2 linked regions of the Drosophila melanogaster genome follow. The protein of the gene in region 1 interacts with the protein of each later gene in a pairwise test. Each region holds a gene or a part of one and is shown in the gene's direction. Other genes may lie near its edges. The genes, in order: CG2852 and azot.

Region 1 (8,110 bases):
CCATAAGTTCAGAAAAAAGAGTCACAATGCTATGATAAATACTGTTTTGTGCACCTAATTAAGCAAACTAACGAAGGAAAATACTTTTTAGTTTGATTTCAAAATTTTTTTTTTTTTAATTTTCGCATTTTTTATAAGGGGTAACATCATGATATTATGCAAAAAAAGGCGAAAATTTGAAAATCTAAGGCTTCAACACCAGTCGATAGAAAATTGTATTATGAATTCAACGATGTAACCCATTCCATATTTGGCTCATTATTTTTACTTTTTCGATCAAAAAAACTGCATATTTTTGGGCGGAAAACCGGGGGAATATATTGGCCAAAAATTCCATATTATTTCTCTCTGTGCACTCACGTTCTCTTTTGAGTTTGGAAACAGGTTGCCAGCGTGCTTGGCAGCGTTTCGCTTTCAGTTCGATTGTTGAGCGATCATGACGACAACGCTGCCGGAGAAGGAAGCGGAAACGCAGCAGGAGATCAGGGAGCGGGAGGCCAAGGCTCTGGAGGACCGAAAGGAGCGCAAGATCTACGAGAACTTTGCCACGCCCCTGGCAGGCACTTTTCTCAACCTGCCACGCGAGCCCGTGGAGATCGAGTGCCCCGCCTGCGGAATCAAGGATCTGAGTGTGGTGCAAAATGATCTGAAGTGGTGGGCCAGTGAACTAAACCGCATTGTGGGATGTCTTTTTGTGTAGGTTGCCTTACTTTCTCCTATTTCTTGGAAACGTAAACTTATAAAATACTTTTACAGGACCTTCTGCTGCTGCTGCTGCTTTAATTACTATGTGCCGTGCAAACAAACCGATCGAAGTCATTACTGCGGCAATTGCGGCTGTTACTTTGGACGTTCCATGAAGAGGAGGCAACCACTCAAATTGAAGGCAACCACCGCCTAGGCAGCATTGTTCACATATTTATTAAAATTCTTCTAAACACTCAATTTCCCACCCACTACTGCAATACCATCGAAACAAAAATAAAGCCAAAAATATCACATTTTCTCTTTTTTGGGCCGATTTTTTTCTCTTTGCATATCATTTGAACATTTTATTCCTACAATTTCTCTTCGCTAGCCTCAGTCTGCGTTTGTTTTTAAAGCAGTCAACATCTTTCGGTGCGAAATGGCTCAGGATCCGAAACCACTTTACTTTGCCGTGGGCCCCGGCCCCAACGACATTACGTGTCCTTATTGCAGGACCAAGGCCAAGACCCGTGTGGTGCGTTCCTGGCTGCGTTGCTGCACCAAGAGGCATCACTGCGGTGCCTGCGGGGAGTACCTGGGCGTATACCGCCGTCCACAACTTTAGATACCCACTGAAGAAGGATCATCGGATCCGAATTATTATAACACAATGAACAAATGTAGATCAGTTTTGTCATTTAATTTATATTCAATAATAATAATAAATATACTGCTGTTTGAAACGAATAAAAGTTTACTATTTAATGTGTAATGCTCAAAATGTACACTATACTTTTTACACTGTACATCCAATGGCATTTGTAACGCAGAGAGAATAACTCATTTGATTTCCATGCACTAACTTAATTACCAGACCAACGCCTCGGTTAAGAGAAATCGGGAGAGTGATTCTGATTTTGATTTTCCCTCCCATGATCTCTCCAAATTTGATCCATCTTTCAGTCACCGATCGTTCTCGCTGGAACTCGCATCATGACCGTGGACGAACCGCAGATTGTGGCCATCATTGTCAGCCACAAGCCACAAGTGGGATACCTGAAGGAGGAGCCCACCTGGATCCGTTGTCCTTCGTGTGAGAAGTCTGGAACCAGTTTGGTGCAACTGGAGTTGGTCACTTGCCTGCAGAGATTTCTGGGATTCACAAAACTTTGGTTGGCCATCTGCATGAAGCTTTATAAATCTTTCGTAATGTTCACTTTATTTCAGTAAAAAATGGTCTGGCCGCCAGGACATCAATCACTATTGTTCACACTGCGGTTGCTTCATTGGAAGATTTGTGCCCATCAGCTGCATGGAACGATGCATTTCGAGATCAGCCCGTAAACAGGCGGCCGTGGATGATATGACCCTGAAGACACGACCCAAGGATTGCGCTGAAAGGGCCCAGAAATCCAGGGAGAAAGTTCTGGCCAGCAGGGAGAAGAAGAGAGCAGAGAAGGCAGCCAAGGATATGGACAAATCTCAGACGCAAATAGCAGTACACCAATAAATAAAAGCATATTTTTTTACTTACTTTTTGTGTACAGAACCGTCAATAAAACAAGAGAGAATGCTACGTGCTAATGCAAACTGGACTTCTAATCCCTAAAATATTAAAAACTATACCAATAAAGTCAACTCTTCGAACTTACTTTGTTCCTTCGTACGAAAACCTTAACTTATGCTTTCGGCGTATTAACTATTTGAATTTGAATTTTCCGCCCGAATGTGTGATCATCAGACATCGTCATCGAATGGTCACACTTAAGCATCGATATTTCGACAAAAACATAAAAAACGATGGAAAACATCGATTGGCGATGCAACAAAGTTTTCTTACATCACTAACAGAAACCGAAAATTCAGTCGTGAAATATCCATTGGCGACGTCGCTTGAGGAATAAACTGAAGCGCTGTGAATATTTAGAACGATGAAGCTGTTCTTATCCGTTTTCGTGGTAGCCCTGGTGGCCGGCGTCGTTGTTGCCGACGATAGCAAGGGTCCCAAAGTGACCGAGAAGGTGCGTGCTCCTTGGACTTTCGTCCTTACATTCTGCATACACCACGTACATACACACACAAACACACACACACATTTGCTGCGCCATAAATCAAGTGAGATGACTTGTTAATAATAAACCGCTTCCGATTGCGTAGGTTTTCTTTGACATCACCATTGGCGGCGAGCCCGCTGGTCGCATCGAGATCGGTCTGTTCGGCAAGACGGTGCCCAAGACGGTGGAGAACTTCAAGGAGCTGGCGCTGAAGCCGCAGGGCGAGGGGTGAGTAGGGTACTTGAGTACCGAAAATACCCCAACATAGTAGGGTGCCAGGTACCGCTAGGCCAGCAAAAGATGCCGCTAATCAGCGGCACTTTGTAGGTTATAGCGGGGCTCTCAGATTGAAGCAATTACGTGGCGTTTGAGCGGCCAATCGCATACATCAGTTGACAAAGCGGCACTAATGGGTTAACAAAGAACGCCAACTGTTATTAAGTCTACCATACTATAAAAGTGCAGTTCTTGGGTATTTCTTTTTTCTTCTCTGAATTTATAAGTATGCATGTTCTTTTTTGGTTAGGTTTCGAGTTCTAAACCCAGTTTTTTTTTAAATTTAAATTCCCATGCTGACAAAACTGACCATCATGCAACGCTCTTATACCCCGCAGCTACAAGGGCAGCAAGTTCCACCGCATCATCAAGGACTTCATGATCCAGGGCGGTGACTTCACCAAGGGCGACGGCACCGGCGGTCGCTCCATCTACGGCGAGCGCTTCGAGGATGAGAACTTCAAGCTGAAGCACTATGGCGCCGGCTGGCTGAGCATGGCCAACGCTGGCAAGGACACCAACGGATCGCAGTTCTTCATCACCACCAAGCAGACCAGCTGGCTGGATGGACGCCACGTCGTCTTCGGCAAGATCCTGTCGGGCATGAATGTGGTGCGCCAGATCGAGAACTCGGCCACTGATGCCCGCGACCGTCCCGTCAAGGATGTGGTCATCGCCAACAGCGGCACCCTGCCCGTTTCGGAGGCCTTCTCCGTGGCCAAGGCCGATGCCACCGACTAAAGTGTTTGGGGAGCATGTCATCCATCAGCAACATAACCGATTTGAACTAAGCATAAACGCATAATCGATTTTTCCAGACATTTGCATTTACCATAGCTCGCCATGTTTATTTACATTTCGTTCCGTAAGCAAGTAATTGTGCTCAACTAAAAACAGAAATGGCATAAATAAAGAATGATTTTTTGTGTGATAAAGAGCTGGAATCGTTCTGTGTGTCTATACCATGATGCCGGTGGTGTGCAGGTTCAATGAACCGGTTTTGGTTCCATCGCTTTCTTTTGGCTCTGACTTCCCTTAGTGGCAACCGGTTTGTGCCTTCTTCGCCAATTTGTTTGCCTTTGTATGTTGTGCCGTTCTCGATTTAGATTGCCCATGTTCTGTCTGTTTTTTCTCTTTGTTGTTGATAAACAACGCTCGGTTCGTCACATTTTTCTGATTTGCACACTTGCGACAAATTAAAGAACACACAGACGAGTTCATTTGTATATTTATTCAGTTTGTTTGGGCCTGCTGGGAACTAATTGTATATGATTGAATGAACAGGTGCATGACTGTCTCTGCAGAAGTTAATCGGGTCGATTGATACTTAAATAAGTGCCACTGGCTCATCTTTCGATCAAGTATCCTGTTCTTTATAGAAAGTTTCCTTTCACAACCCTTGGACTAAATATTGATTACTATATACATACCATACTATACTATCCCATGTATATAGAGGTGAAAGCCCGAAACCAGCCCTCTAGTAACTAATTATATATAGCATAATTTTTCAGATCTCAGACGCTGATGAATTGGCAACTTTTACAATTAGCGAATGCACTCAAATGCAACAACATTGTCTAGAAATGCATATGTCTGCCAATCCTTAGACTTCACGTCCCCCAATCTTTTGTTTAGAGCGAGAGAAACCAAGAACTGAAGAGACGATCTCATATCGTTCAAATGTGGGGAATCGTATATGTACATATATATGAAGACGTACATATGTGCAATTGTACCCCTTTCACAGACCCCACAATCGCTGTGTATACATTAATGAAAGCAATAGGATCTATATGAAACGCATGTGTATTGGGGTCTGGTGGCAATCTCATGTGCCACACATGTTCCAGTGACCACAGAAATTCTGGACGTACTTCTAAGATTATATTCCCGAGAGCAATCAGTTGAGTGTTTTGTTTTTGTGGGGAGTCAAGGCGCTGGGAGCGATAAGTTCAGTCTCATTCGTAAACTCAATACAACCGGAAGAGTTTACCGGCGAATGCAATTGCATTACGGCCGGAACTTAAGTATAATCCCAAGCTGATCGTTGATAATAGGGAATATGGTTGGTAAACGGATGCAAGAAGTTCTAGAAAAAGTGTCATCCAAATAGTTTCGAAGCTACTGGAAGACAGATAAGAAGAGATTGTCTTTAATTCGATGATGTGTACTTTCGGAAATGACCTAATTAGTTGTGTGTATGTTAAACCATATAGGAATCTCAATGGAATCGTTGGATCTTGCTGGCTATTTTGGGACTAGCTCTGGGCCAGATTTCACAGGCAGCCAAGATCCTGGTACTGTTTCCCCATGTCAACGAGGGTCACTTTGCGGTGATGCGGACTCTGGTCACCGAGTTGGCCAATCGCGAGCACACAGTAAGTGGCAGTGCTGTCGTTTAAAACGTTTAAGAAATGAAAAGAATGTTGTTTGAATTAGATTGAAGTATATACCGGTCATGGTTTGGGAGAATCTCTGGATAACGTTACCGAAACGGTGACAGCGGAATTTCCTTTTTGGAGCGAATGTGAGTAGGCCGTCTGGAGAAGATTGTTCACGAAGTATAGCAATATCCACATACAGTGCAAAAACAGGCGGCACCCAAGGGAAACCTTGCTGATCTTGGACTCCTGCCAATTGAAAAACTCCGCCAGTCATTGGCCAGCGTTGGAGCGCGTGCTTTGGACCACTTCCTCGCCCAAGAGCCCATCCAAAAGCTGCTGAAGATGTCATATCTTGAGTTCGATTTCGATGTGATCCTTGTGGACTACTTCTACACAGAGGCTTTGTTGGCACTGGGAGCTCTCCATCAGCGGCCAGTTGTAGGGATTATTTCCACGGACTTCGGCAACTACATGGATGCCGTACAAGAGGCACTGGTACCAGCCGCTTGTTCACCCATCGATTTTGAGCGGGATCAACCTGAAATGAGCTTCTCCGTACGATTGGGAAATATTCGGACATGTATTGCTCGCCGTAAGCAGTTCATCAAGGATCACTACGGCGGTCAGGAGCAGTTGGTGACCAAGTACTTCCAGCTGCAGAGCTCTATCCCCGAGCTGCAGGCCAGCCAGCTATCCGTGCTGCTGCTCAATAGTCATGTGCCATTGATAACTCCCAAAGTTAGTATCCAACAGATAATTCCCGCCGGTGGACTTCACATCCGTGGTCCCAAGGAGCTGCCCTGGAATGTGAAGCGCTTTCTGGAGGAGGCGCGTCCTGGAGCCATCTACGTTCAACTGGGCAATGAGCAGGCTTGTGGCCAGCTACCCAAGGAGAAACTCGACACTCTGTTTGCCTTCTTCTCCGCCAGAAAGCAGAGCATAATCTGGACCTGTCACGACGTCAAGACCCTGGAGGGACTGCCAAAGAATGTGATGATCCAGCATGCAGTGCCGCAGATAGACATCCTGGCGCATCCGAGAGTCAAGGCTTTCCTAACCAATGGAGATCTGCTCAACCTGCAGGAGGGCATCATGCGGAATGTGCCCATTCTGGGATTGCCCCTATTCCAGCATGAAGCTCGGAACATGGAGCTAGCCGTGCGATTAGGAGTTGGCCTACAGCTGGAGGAGGGCAATGTGACAACTGAGTCACTAAACTGGGCAGTGGACAGGCTACTCCTCGAGTCACACTTCCAGTTGACCATCCGGGATGTGTCTCTGGAGTTCAGGGACCGTCCTCTTGGCGCTCTGGCCAGCGCTCTCTTCTGGGTGAACTATGTGGCCCGGCACAAGGGAGGATCGGCTTTGAGAACCCGAGGCATTGGGATCTCCTCCTGCCAGCTGCACCTGTTCGACCTCTTCGTGTTCTATGCCGGAATAGCTACTTTAGTCGTAAGCTTACTGGTGGCCCTGAGTTTTGGCGGCTTTTATATTTGGAATAAGAAAAACAACTCCAAGTCGACCAAAGTAAATTAGGTTTAAAGTTTTGAATAAAGTGCATTCTGAGCAGTTTTTTATGAAAAATAAGAATGCATTCTCAAGAACATGAATGAAAGAAAAGCTGAATCATCAGAAAGTTGGTTGCTGCCATTCAAGAAAGTCAAGATTTGTTGGCTTCTTTTTCGTACAAAATAATAATTATATTAATTATAATTATAATTATATTGATTTGGGAACAAAGAAAAATAAAGTTGACCAAAACATGTTAATAGCGAATCGTAACTCAATTTGGCGCTCAAAGGAAAAAAAACTAATAAACGTAAATTTGTCATAGCTTTATGAGTAGACTATTGACTAATGCTTATTGGGTATTTTGATACTCGATCGATATTAAAATAGGTGATTTTACAATTTAGTGTATTGAGATTAACATAACTTACTTAAGATTTTTTATTATTCAAATATACACTACGATCTGGCAACAACAGTTGGACGAAAAATATCGATAGTCTTTAAATATCGATAGTATCGAATCATCGCCATTTCTTCCATCTCTGAAACGGCCATCTTCCTTTCTAATAAATCGCGTTCGCAAAACGACGTGTTTAAAACCTTTTCAAGTGTTTTAAAAGGTAAATTACTCTCAGAACTGCCTAAAAATGCAGGCAAAGACCGCCACCAAAATGCTTATAGCTCCGTGATTGAGGGCAGTGTCCGTGGACGGCGAATGAGCGCAGAAACATGTCACACGTGGAGACATGGAGCACCCACTGCCAGTGAGGTTATGTTGTGTCGCTCAAAAGCGACAAAAACAATCCGGACTGGCGAGCATTTTGTTTGAATGAAAGGCCCAAGCTAAACCTCTACCATCCTTTTGCAGCTCCGTCAAAATGTCCGGTACAACCGCTACCATCCGCACCCGCAAGTTCATGACCAACCGCCTGCTCGCCAGGAAACAGATGGTCTGCGATGTCCTCCACCCAGGATTGTCGTCGGTGAACAAGACCGAGATCCGCGAGAAGCTCGCCGCCATGTACAAGGTCACCCCCGATGTGGTCTTCGCCTTCGGATTCCGCACCAACTTCGGTGGCGGCCGCTCCACCGGCTTTGCCCTCATCTACGACACCCTGGACTTCGCCAAGAAGTTCGAGCCCAAGTACCGCCTGGCCCGTCACGGCCTCTTCGAACAGAAGAAGCAGACCCGCA
Region 2 (6,977 bases), about 15 Mb from region 1:
TCAAAGTTAGAACTTTTGGAGCAACTAAATCGATTAGAGACCTTAAAACACGGAAATAGCGACAATTTTGAGTACTTTGAGGAATCTGTTTCGCCGTTGGGCTATGAGATTTCTGAAAAATTAAATAGAACATTTGCGTCGATCAAAAGAATAAATCAGTCCAGGGCGAATGCAGAACTGTTTATTTTAGACGACAGAGATTCACCCATGGACTTTTTGACTTACGATGACTATCAAGGAAAGTATGTTCCCTTGGCCGAAGAGAAACCCCAACCACCCAATCGTCGAAGAAAGAAACGATCTAAACGACTTTTCGTTCCCAAAACTGACGCAGGTACACAGACTGAATGCGAGTGTGAAATTTGCTGTTCGTTGCAAAAGTATAGGACTGAAAAAGTATCACCTTTGCTAATGGAAATGACAATGAAAAGAAATTTTTTGAATCAACGACAATACTATATGGAAAATCTCAAGAAAAGAAAGTTAAAAGCACCTGTTTCAGAAAAAAGGGAATTAATCTCCATAACTAAGCCCAATCAAAGCGATTGCGAAGCGAAACACAGAAGTCACAAAGATGTAAATTTGTATTCTCGTTACCCCAAAATCATTTCCGAAACCCTTGAGAACCTTACATCCCCCCTTCGATTTGAAAACTACACACGAGAATTATTAAAGGCTTACAAGGCACTCGATGTGACAAAAATGATATCACGCTGTTATCAAACACTTTTTGAAGCCGAGCAACGAACGAATGGAATATTTCCAAATACCTTTGATCCTTAACCGAAAATTTGTCGACTATAAAGTATCTGAATCTAGTCAATCAATGAAGATACAGAAATGAGCATTTGACTGCATATAACATGCGCGAGAAAATGAATGAAATTGGAAAAGAAGCATTTTCTTTCTTTGGATTCATCAATTAAAAATGAGCTCTGTGTTTAATTCGCCAGGAGTGCCAGGAAGTGAACACAGAGTTCATTTCAGATGAATTCAAGGAAATGAAAGCTTATTTCTATTAAAAATTCACCTATGCTTGGTAAGCATTATATGTAATAACCAGCCAAAAAGTGAGTATTGTTGACTACTTAGTTTGGGAAATGCCGGTCGAATAAAAATGAATTGTTCGTTAAGAAAGGCAATGTCACTTTTGCCATCAATCCCAATTCAGGTGGTAATTACATAAATTTCCCCGATGTGAGTGCCATCAACGGAATGCCGTGCAAATGACAGTTATTAGTACACGAGCCTAGCCCCGAAGGAGAGCTTGGGGGTTGGAGGTTTGAACGTACGTTTGATTGATTTATATTGGCGTCAGGCAGTGACTGAGGAACATTTCTAATGACAGTTTTACATATCCCTATGACGCCACCACCACCACCACCACCCATCCCACCCGACTCACCGATCGGATCGATGCACTCGAGGGTGAGGCAGCACTTCAGCCAGGGAAGCATGATCTTCTCGGCCACCAAGGAGCTGTCCGAGAAGAAGACAGCATCCAGGTCGACCATCCGAAGAAAGTTAAACTCCTCAGCTTTCGACTCAAAGTAGTCGAACATTTTTGGATGCGTCAGAGAGGATACCGCCGTCGCTGTGTTCCATCCGAGCACTCCAGCGGACTTGACTGCAGATTTTCCCACTCCTGGATTCATAACGATGCTCTGCAGACTTCGCAGCTGGGCGGAACCTCCGCGCACGCGCATGCTGTTTTCCAAGAAGAGAACCGATCGGGCACGCATAAGACCGTCCTTAATTACAATGGGCCGGTAGGCGTGCGTCCGCTGATCGGCGACGAAGGAGGGAAACTCCGACAGATCATAGGTGATCACCGAGCATCGGCTGTTATTACAGTAGGCGCCCAAATCCCGTAGTTGCTCCTCGGAAACGCCCAAATCGTAGATTAGCAGGTACTCGCTGGGAAGCTTGGCGGCAATATTCTGGGCCAGCAGGATGGCCGATGCGGCCTGCCCCTCCAGCACATAGCTGACGATTGTGAAGTTGCTCTTTGTACCGTTGTACGGCGTCGTGATCCGCTTCCGCTGCCCCTTTTGATCTCCTGCCTGACTACCGAAGGTAACAGCATCCTGTGGACGCCGCAGACCTCGCAGTTCGCTGAGCTCCAGTTCCGCTTTTGTAGCCGGCGCTGAAAAATCTGTCTTTGGCAGTTGCTGACCTGGTGAACCGATGTCCACCACATTTTGCTGATCCAGCTGCTGCTGTTGGCCTGTAGCTTCATTTGACGAGGTGAAGCCCAGAAGAAGCAAATACTTTGGGTCTATTTCGAGCTTTTTGCGTTCCAAGCCAACGCGGAGGTTTTCCTGCAAGAAAAAAAATTAAATTTGCAATAAATGAATATTTTTGGTTTATCCAAGAAATAAACAAGAGATTTATTATTTAAGTTTTGACATACGGTTCCCGAACCCCACTCTTAGAAAATTATTTATGTCGGGCCAGGCGGCGTTAATGGTCAAAAAATATGGCCAGAATTTGCCTCGTCATAGGAACAATTCCGAAACACACATGTGAGATATGTTTCCATTATGGCCCTCTAGCACACTTCCTCTGTTTCGCCGAAACTAGCCCAAACAAATACCCAAACACAACCAAAAATCAAATGAGCCGCACAATGGAACCCTCTCGTGCCGATGTCAAATTCTTGTCTATTATTTGCTTAGACTGTGGCCAGAGTAAAGCGTGCCGCATTCTCTGCCCACCCCCCCGGGCACTACCACTCCTCCGGCAGCCAAAAACCGGTGTCAGGTGTGTCCCACTGCGGTCAGGTGAAAGGGCCGAGGGGGAGAAGCACTGGAATTAACCTGCGGCAAAAAGGCAGCCGCCAAAGTTGCAGGCTAGGCGCCAAACCCAAATCGCATGACAACCTTTCTGTGCCGATAGCAACCACTACACTTGTATGGCAGTACACTCAAAACACTCTTGTTAAGTATGAATAGTATGGTATGCTGATTCATAGATAGATTATTTAATGTATAGCAAAACTTACGAATAAGTTTAAGCAATCAAGAACAAAATCTTACATTTACATTTTTATACCAGTTACTCGTGAAGCTAAAGGAGTTATTCATCCAGATCACTAGTCGATCTGGATAAGCCCGTCTGTCCTTCCGTCTGCCTGTCCGTCCGTATGAACGTCGAGATCTCGGGAACTATAAAAGTTCACTAATGTTGTTTTCATTCTACACAAATATTTTGGCGTTGCAAACTTCTGTTGAGTTCTTGTATTTCGAATAGCGAAAAGATGAGCCTTTTTTTTCTTGAGTGTGCGTTGGAACAATGACGGTGATTGTACACATTCTTACTCCTTAACTTTCCTCGAACGGCACTCTCCTTCTGTTTTGTTAACGAACAACGAAAGATACTAGCTGACGTCCGTTGCTGGGTCGCAATTGAAACCGATCAGCTGCAAGGCCTCCTCGCCCAAGGACATTCGAATCAATCAACTCTGTCCGTGCGGCACTGCGCTTATATAACGAGCATATTGATTTTGTGCCATTCGGTGTTGTGCACTGTGCAGCGCAGTGAAGCCACCGGGGGATGTTCATTTTACCATTTTTCACATTTCACTGAGTTCAATGTCAGGACCTTGTTTCATCCAAACATCAGTTGACACCTACATATAAACAGAGCAATATACAACTCTTCCGAGAAACTATAATATACCAGTTAAGATGGAGGATATTTCGCATGAGGAGCGAGTCCTGATCCTTGACACTTTCCGTATTTTGGACAAGGACAACGAGGGCGCCATAACATCTAAAGAGATGGCGGTGGTGATTCGCGCCCTGGGTCGCCAGCCCAACGACGCCGAGGTTCAGTCCATGATCAATGAGGTGGATTCGGAGGGAAACGGATCCATCGTGGCTCCGGAGTTCTGCAATGTGATTCTGCGCAAGATGCGCGACACCAACCATGAGGACGAGCTGCGCGAAGCTTTCCGAATTTTCGACAAGGATAACAATGGCTACATTACCACCACCGAGCTAAAAAATGTGTTCACCGCGCTGGGCGTAAAGCTCAGCGACGACGAGTTGGAAGAAATGATACGCGAGTACGACTTGGATCAGGACAATCACTTGAATTACGAGGAGTTCGTCAACATGATGACAATGCGATAGCCTCCATGTGAGTACTCGTATAGAAGGCTGGCTTGATTTCTATCCAACAAAAAGTCGGCGTTCTGTCTGTGTTCAGTTTAAATTCTTTATGTTCACACTGACAAAAGCACATGAAACATTAGTCCACTACAAAAAAAAAAAAAAAAAAGAAAATCACTTTGGAAACAATGAGCGGCAGTTTGACCGAGGCCCAGATTGAAGAAATTCGAGAAGCATTCAGTTTGTATGACAAGGAACGGTCCGGATGGGTTTCCGTCCAACAGCTCGGCGGAGTAATGCGGGCCCTTGGAGAGAGTCTCACCGAGGCGGAGATCTACGACCTGGCCAACGAAAGTAACGCCGACTTCGGTGGGCAGGTGCAGTTCAAGGACTTTCTATACGTGATGAGCAAACGGCTGGAGGAGCAGAACAGTCTGGTGTGCCTAAAGCAGGCCTTCAAAATCTTCGATCGCAGCGAAGTGAACAGCTTTACAATTAACGAGATCAGAATGGTGATGACCAACCTGGGCGAGAAGATGTCCGAAGAGGACTTGCGCGAGTTGTTCCAGGACATTGATCAGGACAAAGATGGAAAGATCTCCTTCAACGAATTTGTTACCGCCATGCGAAGCTAGGAATTCCAAATTGAAGGCACAAATTAACCACGAACCCCTTTCGAAAGAGCCCAACCCAGTCGCGTTTTCCCTACGCCTAGGCGGCACCACTTGAAATTCCCAACCAAATTCCTTTGGCTTACTCAACGCAGCGCCAGAAAGTCGGCTGTTAAACCTTGTCCGAAGAAGTCCACTTGTGTGTGTCCATGTGGCACGGCGCGTGACTCCGAAACGGTCGCATGTGCCTAATGGCCGCTGGGGAGTGCCAGGATATTCGAAAGGGTGATGGCGATGGGCCAGAGCAATCATAAAATCGAGCCACGCTGATTACGATGCCAATTTAAATATTTGACCATGTGCTGGACTGGACTGGACTCGCTGGTTTCCTTTTTGTCTGACCAAGTTTACAAGTGGCATGATTTTGGGTTCAAGTCTTATCGCACCTTGCTCTTTTTAAATTACCTTGTTATCTATTGGCACCCTTAATACGCATACAACATACATTGTCCATGACTCATTCGGCAATTATAAAAGCCCACCTTGGCAATAAAATATTGTCAAGTGACTAGTGACTAATAATTTGTAAGGGGGAAAGGTTTATAAATTTGAATGCGCCTTCGTGCATGGATTTCAGAACATATATAAAAGAAAATCATGTATAGAGAAAGAATAATTGATGCCGAATTCGGAGAAATATTTCGGGGCTGGGATGCATTACTCGGAAAGATTTCACGATTTCGTCATTGCTAATCCTATTTGTAAAAGGTAAATACCCACAATAACCCCAAAAATACTTAATTATGCTTAATTGAAAAATTAAAACATTAGCTTCTTTATTTTACATCCACTTACAGTTAACCCACGGACTTATTAATGTTAATCAAAAGTCGAGAGGTCATTCCGACGTTCATATGTTTCTAGCGCTTCATATGGATAATTTAAATAGGTTATCGTTCAGCTACAGTTTAATTGCATTGCTCTGCATGTGAGTGGCGGTGCGACATTGAACCGATGGCTATAGGCAATCAATAGCGCCTGTTTACTCCTCACACAGGTAAATATGGAATACGAGTAATCGCTGTGCAAGCGCATTGATAAAGCCCGCGCTCCTCGCTGTAATTTAAGTCATTGATTAGTGTCGTCCATTAAGAAAGTTGACACAAATTGTCACAAATGGGGCAGCATTATAATTTGAAATTAGAAAAAAAAAAAAGAAAACATTCAGCTTATTTCCCAGCAATACTCCATAATTGGCTAATTGACTAAATAAATTTCTGCTCGACTTATATATGAGTTTCGTATACCCACAGTTTTGATTCGAATTGTTGTATTCAATCCCAGCGCACCTGTTTGATTCCCACGAAGCGAACCCTCGGAATAAGATCCAAAAGGGTGGGATTTAGCTATACACGTACTTCCGCATGGAAAGTTTATACTACTTTTAGGTAGTCTCCGGAGTTGTTATTTATACATAGGCACGCTTTAAAAATATATAGTTCATAATAGAAAACACCCTAGCTGTGCTATGAATATGTCTTAGTCACAGAAATGATTGTGCACTCACTGGAAGTGTTCGACATGCATCAAGTGCTGGCAGTCGAACAGTCAATCACTTTAATTGTAAATCTATATGCTAGCCTATATTAGTATGATGTGGAAATTTATTCACACACATATCGTTGTGTATGTAGCAGTACTGGTGCACAAACCAGTTGGGTAAAGAATGCATTTTAACAAACGAACGAGCAATGCCTTAGATTTTGATGCAATTGTGGGAACTAGTTTACAGACAAAGTAACTTCATATGCGTTGAAACGCCTTTTCGGGTGGAGAAGATACGTTGATCCCTATCAAAACAGTGGTATTACTAATTAATGCTTCCATTATCTCAGTTTGTCATGATAGCAAAATCGTAGGTTTCTGTTTACCTCGTTGAGATAACAGCCAGTTGTAAACTTTGAAGCAGAGACTCGGCGTTTGGGCACTATTAAAATTGCCTTTATGAGTACGTGATGGGAAAAGAACACCTTCTTTGCGTAGCTAAACATGAAATGCATAGCGATGATTTATAACCATCTTGCTATGCAATCTATTAAGTTTTCCCTAGACGCAAGAAATCCTTCAGCGACGTGGTCTCGGAGCCGTGGTTAACCGCAGGTTACCCAATAGCTCATCGGGCTGTGCAACCGGACTCCGGCCGGAATCTAATTAGTGTAAACAGTAAACGCTCTGGCAGGCGAAACGTAAA

The links.
Region 2: the proteins of CG2852 (region 1) and azot interact in a two-hybrid assay, tested with the Drosophila melanogaster proteins (one large-scale study listed by BioGRID).

The regions. Positions count from the first base shown.
Region 1 is NT_033778.4:22,640,780-22,648,889, reverse strand, and holds CG2852 (uncharacterized protein), read left to right. Parts: upstream 1-2,545; 5' UTR 2,546-2,618; coding exon 2,619-2,708; intron 2,709-2,844; coding exon 2,845-2,969; intron 2,970-3,355; coding exon 3,356-3,758; 3' UTR 3,759-4,244; downstream 4,245-8,110. Other genes in the region: CG34445 (uncharacterized protein), read left to right, coding at 437-696, 757-901; CG34446 (uncharacterized protein), read left to right, coding at 1,127-1,312; CG30195 (uncharacterized protein), read left to right, coding at 1,681-1,859, 1,915-2,197; Ugt317A1 (UDP-glycosyltransferase family 317 member A1), read left to right, coding at 5,083-5,085, 5,237-5,398, 5,460-5,547, 5,604-6,940; RpS24 (ribosomal protein S24), read left to right, coding at 7,795-8,110.
Region 2 is NT_033778.4:7,946,200-7,953,176, forward strand, and holds azot (ahuizotl), read left to right. Parts: upstream 1-3,639; 5' UTR 3,640-3,689; coding exon 3,690-4,136; 3' UTR 4,137-4,266; downstream 4,267-6,977. Other genes in the region: CG14764 (uncharacterized protein), read right to left, coding at 1,406-2,321; CG34431 (uncharacterized protein), read left to right, coding at 1-783; CG30378 (uncharacterized protein), read left to right, coding at 4,304-4,750.